2 linked regions of the Nothobranchius furzeri genome follow. The protein of the gene in region 1 interacts with the protein of each later gene in a pairwise test. Links are inferred from orthologs where the notes say so. Each region holds a gene or a part of one and is shown in the gene's direction. Other genes may lie near its edges. The genes, in order: gtpbp3 and protein mono-ADP-ribosyltransferase PARP11.

The links.
Region 2: the proteins of gtpbp3 (region 1) and protein mono-ADP-ribosyltransferase PARP11 interact in binary tests that used the Homo sapiens proteins (3 or more experiments, as listed by UniProt). The two-hybrid records come from large-scale screens. The link is inferred for Nothobranchius furzeri from reciprocal best matches to the Homo sapiens genes GTPBP3 and PARP11.

What each region holds. Positions count from the first base shown.
Region 1 is NC_091748.1:66,786,909-66,791,414, forward strand, and holds the start of gtpbp3 (tRNA modification GTPase GTPBP3, mitochondrial), read left to right. Parts: upstream 1-1,454; 5' UTR 1,455-1,707; coding exon 1,708-1,772; intron 1,773-2,176; coding exon 2,177-2,442; intron 2,443-2,640; coding exon 2,641-2,727; intron 2,728-3,414; coding exon 3,415-3,497; intron 3,498-4,048; coding exon 4,049-4,168; intron 4,169-4,506. UniProt on the Homo sapiens protein: GTPase component of the GTPBP3-MTO1 complex that catalyzes the 5-taurinomethyluridine (taum(5)U) modification at the 34th wobble position (U34) of mitochondrial tRNAs (mt-tRNAs), which plays a role in mt-tRNA decoding and mitochondrial translation.
Region 2 is NC_091741.1:45,966,507-45,970,946, reverse strand, and holds the start of protein mono-ADP-ribosyltransferase PARP11, read left to right. Parts: upstream 1-1,471; 5' UTR 1,472-1,609; coding exon 1,610-1,652; intron 1,653-1,742; coding exon 1,743-1,867; intron 1,868-2,232; coding exon 2,233-2,353; intron 2,354-2,554; coding exon 2,555-2,630; intron 2,631-2,800; coding exon 2,801-2,873; intron 2,874-4,087; coding exon 4,088-4,215; intron 4,216-4,440. Other genes in the region: sodium- and chloride-dependent GABA transporter 2, read right to left, coding at 253-387, 470-647. UniProt on the Homo sapiens protein: Mono-ADP-ribosyltransferase that mediates mono-ADP-ribosylation of target proteins. Plays a role in nuclear envelope stability and nuclear remodeling during spermiogenesis. Inhibits the type I interferon activated signaling pathway.

The sequences.
Region 1 (4,506 bases):
TTTTAAATTATTCGTTTAACCTTATATGTTCTTACCCCTGTACAGCACTTTGGTCAGCTCACATGCTGTTTTTAAATGTGCTTTATCAAATAAATGGAATGGAATGGAATGTTCTGACAGTGGGATTAACCCTCTCAGGCTCAAAATAAGTTTTGATAAAAGGACGAAAAACTAAGTCCTTCAGGGGTACTTCTGAGTTAAAAAATGCTCATGAAATACGTGCGTGGAGTAACCTGGTAGGAAGGTTTTAACGTTGCAAATCTGTAACACCTGCCTCCAGAGGGTTAAAGGAAAGCAAATTGTGTTTGTGGTCATCTTAATTATCAACATCATCTTGCTGCAGATGGAGTTACTGTAAGATGATGATGGAGTGCATCATTCAACCATCAACAAAACTACTTTACACAAGGAGATGCTGTATGTGAGAGACGATGCAGACGAAGCCTTTTCTCCACCCACAGCACAAACAAAGCTGCTTGAGGTACGCTGAAGCACATTTGGACAAGCCAGCTTCATTTTGGAATAAGGTGCTGTGGACTGATGAAACAAAAACTGAGTTATTTGGGCATAACAAGGGGTGTTATGCATGGAGGAAAAAGAACACAGCAGTCCAAGAAAAACACCCGTTACCTACAGTAAAACATGGTGGTGGTTCCATCATGCTGTGGGCTGTGTGGCCAGTGCAGGGACTGGGAATCTTGTTAAAGTTGAGGGACGCATGGATTCCACTCAATATCAGCAGATTCTCGAGACCAATGTTCAGGGATCAGTGACAAAGCTGAAACTGCACCGGGGCTGGATCTGTCAACAAGACAACGTCCCTAAACACTGCTCAGCATCTACTAAGGCATTCATGTAGAGGAGTAAGTACAACATACTGGAACGGCCATCTCAGTCCCCAGACCTGAATATTGTTGAACATCTGTGGTGTGACTTTAAGAGAACTATCCATGCTCAGAAGCCATCAGACCTGAATGAATTAGAGATGTTTTGTAAAGAAGAATGGGCCAAAATACCGTTAACCAGAATCCAGACTCTCATTGAAAGCTATAGGAAGCTTTTAGAGGCAGTTATTTCTACAAAAAGAGGATCTACTAAATGTTAAGTTAATTTATTGTTTGTGGTGCCCAAATTAATGCACTTGTCTAATTTTAATTAATGCATCGTTCTGTGAATCCTATCAACTTTGTTTGACTTCTCAAATATTAACGTGTGTGTCTCCTTTATGATACATTTAACTACAAATGTTTTATCGTAACAACCAACTATTTATACAGGAAAATCTTGAAGATTAACAAGGCTGCCCAAACTTTCGCATCCCAGTGTTGAGAAGGATAACGGAACTAATTATCGTTGGCATAACGCTACGGACTGAATGATTTGATGCACAGTAGGCGGAACTTCCTGTTGATCGACAGGTTCTCAGCGAATAGGAGCTCAGATTTTTCACACATGAAAACAGCATGGACGACATATCAAATAGAGGAGACGAGTCGGGTCGATTTTTTATTTTTAATGAAAGTTTAACCGATATAATTTAAATATTTGACCTTCGTGTCAGTAATAGCAAGGTTAGGTTTCCTGGTCCGTTTAGTAGAAACTATCTGAACGGCGAAAAAGCCATAAATACAGATTATAATGAGGACTAATTGTAAGTCTGAATGATAAAAAGGTGATAATTTAATAGTTTATATTTATTCCATAATTATGTTTCGACCATCGTCCATCCATCGTGGAGTGTGCAGAGCTGTGATTCGCGGACTTTGGACAAAGTTGGTTTAAAACTTTTAACTTTTACGAACATTTTTAAAGTCATTCTGGTTATAAAATGTTGTTTATGTCGTGATTAAGGCGTCTGATCTGTATAAAATGTGACTTAAGGCCCTTTGGAAAACGAAGAGCTTCTGTTAAAACATGTAAAACAAAAACACAACATTCCTTTTGGATTTTTTTTTTTATTGTTAATCTGTTAGAAACCAGTGTAAGGTTAAATCATTCTACATATTTAAGGTGTTTATACACTGACTTTTTCCAAGGAGCATAGTTTTTTGTAAACCTTTAGAGGCATAGTAATCAGTAGCTTTCAGGTTCTCTGAAGGTCTTTTTTATTGTTGACGTTCACTGCTGATGTGGCCTAATATATCTAATTAATAATTTATGTCCTCCTTAAATCCAGTAGACGCACCTCTCTCCATCGTCTCCTGTCCACGTACGGTGGAGTTCAGGGTGGGCTGGCAGACGCTGACACCATCTTTGCCCTGTCATCAGGTTATGGCAGGTGTGGCGTAGCTGTGGTACGTGTCAGTGGCCCTGCCTCAGCGACAGCTTTAAGGAGTATGGCTGGGCACCGCCTGCCTCCTCCACGAACTGCTCTGTTGCGCAGCATCACAGATCCCCTCTCCGGAGAAATGCTGGACCGTGGGCTTGTCCTCTGGTTTCCAGGTGAGCCACATAATTCAGAACATAATTCAAACTTTATTTGGTGTTCCCTTTTTTTTTTGCCAGCTTAAGAGCGTTTATTGAGGCTTGAGTTTCTTCCTGTCACAAGTCCAAGCCTTGCTTTATCTGGATCAAAGTCTTAGACACAGGCTAACTTAAAAATCAAAAGAACTTATCGTATTCTTCTGCTTATGTCATCAGCTCCTCACAGCTTCACAGGAGAAGACAGCGTGGAGTTCCACATCCATGGTGGTCCTGCTGTCATTACTGCTGTCCTACAAGCTCTAGGTAAAAAAAAAATTAAATACTAATAAAACCTGTCATCATTTTGAGTCCATCAAAATGCATATTTGCGGCTTAAATTCCCCAAGCCATAAGCCTTCAAAGTAATTCTAAGTGCTCCATCTGGTAGAGTCATGTGACTGTCTGTCATGTGACTTAAAAGAGAAAACTGCCACATGCACTTCTATTTCTAAGATGCTTAAAATATTTGCTTTGACAAGCATGTCAGTCCCTTTTGTGATGGACAGGAATTAATTCACTTCTGCTCTGTTATCCGCCCAGTAGGGGGCAGTGGTGCATAATACAAAATAAAGAATCTACCAGTTTGTTGTCCTGTGAGATTTTACCATTCATCAGAGTTCTATACAAAATAATCCATACAGTCAGTCCCAAATGGATTTATGCAGAATGTGTGAACTATTATTACCACTGAAATGTTCATTTATTATTTAGAACCCCCATTTCCCAAATGAACATGTGTTCTTTATTGTCCGCTAATGAGATCTAAAGAATGGTTGTAAGAACAATGCACACATGACCGTTGATGACCTGCAGATGAGTCTGTTGTGAGTCCTGGTGAACCTTAAGTACCTCTCTGACCCCACATCTGATCCTGCTCTCTTTGTTTGCGTAATGCACACGTGCACCACCTCCGTTTCTTCATGTTTTTGTTTGTATGTGTGTGTTTTGCAGGAAGCGTGCCTGGCACGAGGCCTGCTGAAGCTGGGGAGTTCACGCGAAGGGCTTTTCAAGCAGGGAAGCTTGATTTAACAGAGGTGAGTTAGAAGAGTCTGTACAATAAAATAAATCTGCTTTGTGCGTTTTTATGTGAGTCTACAGGACACCTGGAAAAAACTATTAAATAAACCTAAATGGTTCCTCTTGACATAATCCTGTAGGAGCTTCAGTGAGGCTCTGATGTTAGGTCATTGTTCTTGAGTGCAGTGAATCGGGTGAGTGTGCATAGATTAAAATGTTTTTGAAACTTGAGAGCCAAAGGCTTTAGTGTTTTTAAGGTAAAAAAAAAACACATTTTCATTAGAGATAAACAATTTTTTGTCCTGGGGGCCAAATGCTGACCTGTTGATACCAATTTAGGCCAATTCTGATTCTTTTTTTAAAACAGCAGCAGGAAACAGAGGAGGTATAAGCTGAATGCAAAGCTTCATAAATCTCCTAACATGATATCCTCTAACAAACCTGATCACGTATGAGAGGAAGTTATGTCTTTATTGCTGTTGGTTGGATATTCATTTGCATTACCAAGGATTTAAGAATGAACTTAAATTGACTAAATCAAAATGATCCTGTGTAAATCCTGATGAAGGTGGAGGGACTCGGGGATCTGATTCATGCAGAGACCGAGGCCCAGCGGAGACAAGCTCTTCGACAGATGTCAGGAGAACTGGGACACATCTACCGGGACTGGAGCCACAAGTTGAAGCGAGTAAGTCTAGAAATAGTTGTAATTTATACTCTGCTGGAATTTTTCAGCTTTCTTCCAACTGTTTGGATTCATCATGGTTTCAGATGCTAAAATAAAGCTCCAGATTTATGATATGATCGATTAAACTGATTTGTATTGCAGGAACTTGTATACTTGTTTTTTTTATTCACTACACTAAAACCTGTTGATCTGTTTGGATTTAAATGATTTTTCTGAAACTTTCTCAGTCTTGACTCAGGCTTTCTGTGGTTCTACCATTAAACCCTAAAACTAAAATTATTATAATACCTTCTATCAAAATCATAAAAATGCAAACACTAACTGCGTTCATTCACAGC
Region 2 (4,440 bases), on another chromosome or scaffold:
GAGAAGTTTCACACAGCTTTACTCAGCAGCTGGATTGCCCGAGATTCACGTTTTCTAGCATTTGCAAGCATTTCCTATGTATATGAAGAAAATAAATCATGTTAAATGGCTATTTATGACATTTCCATTCCAGCTCAAGTGTGTATTTCATTGCATCATTCTCTATTGATAAAATCAAAACAAGCCTGACAGTGGGTGTACAAAGCAGCTATTGTGGAGGGTTTGCTTCTCTAGCTGAGCCTTGTTTTTTACCCTCAAACATGGGGCAAATCTTCCTCCAGGCAGTCACCCCACCCTCACTGGTGTATTGGCCCAGTGCGGTCTCAAGGAAAAACACAGGGATGCCACAGAAGAAGAGGAACACGCAGTAGGGGATAAGGAAGACCCCTAAATACGAAATAATTCATGAGAAAATCTAATAATTTTCAATTTTCATTGATTGAAATCTCCCACAGATGCAGCATCTTACCTCCTCCATTCTTGTAGCACAGATAGGGGAAACGCCAAACATTTCCAAGGCCAATAATTTCTCCTGCCATGGAGAGAATAAACTCCATGTTGTTGGCCCATTTTTCCCTTGGCTGAGCCCCCTCTTCTGGATCCTGTTTATCCTGGCCAGGCTCACCAACAGTGGTTTCCTCAGTCATAATCAGGCTAATAAAGACGCTCGAAATGTAACATCTGGTGCATTTTATAACACTTCATGATTCTCATATGCAGACATGGGTTAAAAGCTTTTACATTACAGGATGTTCATGCTCATCATCACTAAGCAATAAAACAAGCCTGACAGTTTTCAGGCTCCTCACATAAACTTTAAATAGACATATGTACATTTTGTGTGCAGAGTCTGCAAAAGTAAATCTTCCCACGAGTTTGTTACTTACCCGTGTGCTTTGTGTGATCCCGTCAATGCAATTCTTTAAATGCCTGGCAGAAGTTTCAAGAGAAGTCTTCACTCTAAAATAGGGGAGTGTCTTGCAGCACATACTGGGGCTGTCCCATGCTAAATAGAAAATGTCTAGTATAGTCAACTATCAACAACAAAAAAATAGCATAATCAAAAAAATGTAGTTAAAAAATGTGCTTCTCCAACATGTTTGTCCAATGTGTGAAATGTTGTGATTTTTTTACAAAGTTGCTTTTAATTTAAACTACTAATGAAGCTACTCAGCATGAAAAGTCTGTGAATTCTGAACAGTCAAGAATTTCTTGTACTTCTAAAACATATTTCTGAAGCGGATTATGTGCCTGTCAGGACAAAGCCCGGGTTCTTGTGCTCCACAAAACTAAGTAGGCGGTCCTTCTTTGAGTTACGCACTGTCGTTTGTCGAATGACGTAAGCACAAACCAGGAAACAAAAGTAAACAACGCATTGGGAAAGAAAAAAAATAATAGTTAGTGAGCCAGATTCAGTCTCTTTCTTTGATGTTGTCGGTGTTTTATGATCGGTTTTTAGGTCTGTTTATTTCAACAAAGAAGACCCGGTTAGAATCAGGCGTAAAGCCGGAAACACCCGCGGAGCTAAGAGGAAACGGCTGCAGCAACAGCTAATGAGAGCTAGCTGGATAAGAGATGATTCTTTTGTTTTCTTTATTCACAAGATGAAATGCACCCTAAACTATGTTGTAAACATGACTCGTCAACGTTAGGTTTGTCTGAAATCAGCATATAAGATCCCCTAATTGCGTCCCATGTTTGCCCTTCAGTGAGTTTGTTTGCTTTGTCTGTGTTTATATCAGTTTTGGCAATGTTAGCCATCAGGTCATCAGAGGAGGAGTCCACGGAGCTGGAGGAGATGGACATCTCTGAACCAAACTGGTGCTGGTTCTACTTGGCTGAGTGCGGGGTGTGGCATATGTTTGAGGTATTTTGCATCATACTACAACTCTAAATGGTGTTATTAGAAAATGTTTAAGTACACCGCCCAATTATTTTGCTTGAAAACTGTCAGGGTGTACCATATTAAATGCACCCAAAAGCCTAGAAGGCATTATTTTTTGCTTGAAATGAGCCAAACTTCCTTTTGATCTTTTTAAGTTGTATTGAGTAACTTTTCTTTAGACTTTATAAAAGTATTTTAAAGTTGTACGCTCAGACATTGTGTCCAATACAGATAAATTATGTTATTGTTTATTTGTTTACCCACTTCACTTCAATTCAAAGTATTTTTTTACAGTTTTGTCAATCAGAATTGTTCAGCTCCTCGCTTGTTTTCTTGATGTCCATCAGATTGATCCCAGTGCAGCCTGCTCAGTAACAAGCGCCCAGATTGAGCAGTGCTACAACAGGAACCAGCGTGGGGTCATGGAGTTCTACACAGCCAAGTACACCTACAGATTGGACTTCTCAGGTAAACTATAATGTTTGATAAACAACATTAGGTTTGTCCATTTCATTTTTAAACTGCAGTGTTAAGAAAGGTTAAGTAGAAATACTGAAGCATCTCAAAATCAACACAAAAACTCAGTTCTGATTGGATTTTTTTTTTTTACGTTTGCTCTGCGTTTTGTTTTTGAGCGCCTGTTCTAATGCTTGAAAACTTCCTCTCCAGTTATGCGACAGATAAATGTAACAACGGGCAAACAGCGACCAATCAAACGCTCCCTGCACTCTGCAACTGGTTTCAGGTGAGATTTTGCTGTTCAAATTGAAATAAGACATTAGGAATACTTTTGGTGCATCGGGAAACCTCTGCTCTGGACTTAATTGTCAGCACTGAAAGACATGTTGGCTTCTGTTTAAGAATCAGATACCTGTTTCTTCTGCGAGCTAGTACTCACCAACTTTGCTCTTCCAGGTTTATTTGTGATAATTTGGCCTTGCCTGTTCCCTGTCACTGGGAGAGAATCAATACAGATGAAACCTATCAGGTAAGTAATAATGTGAGAATGGAGGGCTTGAAACAAAACATGCTGTTAAGTTATTTGGCAAAGATACATAACAAATTTCATGCCAGAGAATAGCAAGGATGTGATGAAAATTAAGGCTTTCTTCTGTATTTTAGATTAACAAATATTCTACAAATTTTAAAGCATTATCAGTTCATGTTACTCCACAGCTCCCAGAAATCTCACTTTTAAATGTGGTCATCAATCGTCAATCAAAGCCAAAGGTAACCTAGATCTACTCATGAACAAAATGATTTTGTATCATCTTCAAAAAGAAAGAAAACAATATTTTATATAGTGCCTTTCAAGATAAAAGTCACGAGGTGCTTCACAAGAACTAAAATAAAAAAAAAATAAAAACAATTTAAAAAAATCATATGATAAATAAATAAGAAATAAGTGCCGGTGGCTCCTGGGAAACAGAATAAGGATAGAGTAGAGATGAAGGTCACCAAAGCCAGCCTGAACAAATGAGTTTTCAGCTGCTAACATTCAAACATCATAGGTTTAAAGACCCGTGCTATGCTATTTTACACCTTCCAGAGCAACAGCAGGCATAGTACTGTATGTGATCAAATATTTCAGATGACCCCCCCCCCCCCCCCCCCCCCCCAGTACACAGCAGCAAACCCAGAGACCGGAGACTGACGCTTGCTGCAGAATCACAGTAAGACAATCTGGCTCAGTTTTTGAAGTTCCTAAAGAATACATCCAACCCTTTCTGCTGATTTAACTCTTCAGGAAGACTGGACAGGGATCCTGTATCTCTCGCAGGCAAAAGTCCATGTTTGGGTTCTAGGCATTATTTAAAGTGCAGACTAAATAAGAAAGAAAATCACTTCTTCATAACTGTGGAACTTAAACTGACTAGCTACACGTAGAGACTGGGCGTTAGTGTTTACAGTCCAAGGGAGGAGCAATCCGGACTCGAGAGACTACCTGGATAGAGAGGAGCGAGTAGTGATAATTCAGCAGCAATCCCGTCTAGCTGAATTCAATAACTTAGCAAAGATTTGCAGGGCTTAAAGGTAGAAGCAGCTGAAGCCATGTGTAAAGCCAAAAACCACTTTGGGGGAGTTTTTGAGGAAATAACAATAAAACATCATCACAAGCTAAAAAAAAAGGATTTTGTAATGTGTAGAATTTTACTTTTGCATTTAGAAATCTTTTCCTTTCATGTGATTTTGTTTTTACAGCTCATCCAGCTCAGCAGAGACACTTATGAGTTTAAGGAGGTAGCCAGACTGTACGAGAGGACAATGGATCATCCATTAAAGTCCATCCAGAGGATTCAAAACTTGGATTTATGGGAGTTCTTCTGTCGGTAGGCAGCTTTGTTTTAGTTTAAATTGGTGTTGGCCCTGCAGCGTTGTCATCAGGGCCGTGTGTGAGTAAAAGGTTCCTCTGTGGCTGTAATTCCATTCCAGTCATTTTGTTATTTGGTTTCATACACCCGCTAAATTCACTTAGACTTGACTTTAGCCTGTGGACATTGGAGGCAATACATCTCCTGAGCATCAGTGTAGTGGGTCTTTCTTCTGTTAGACAC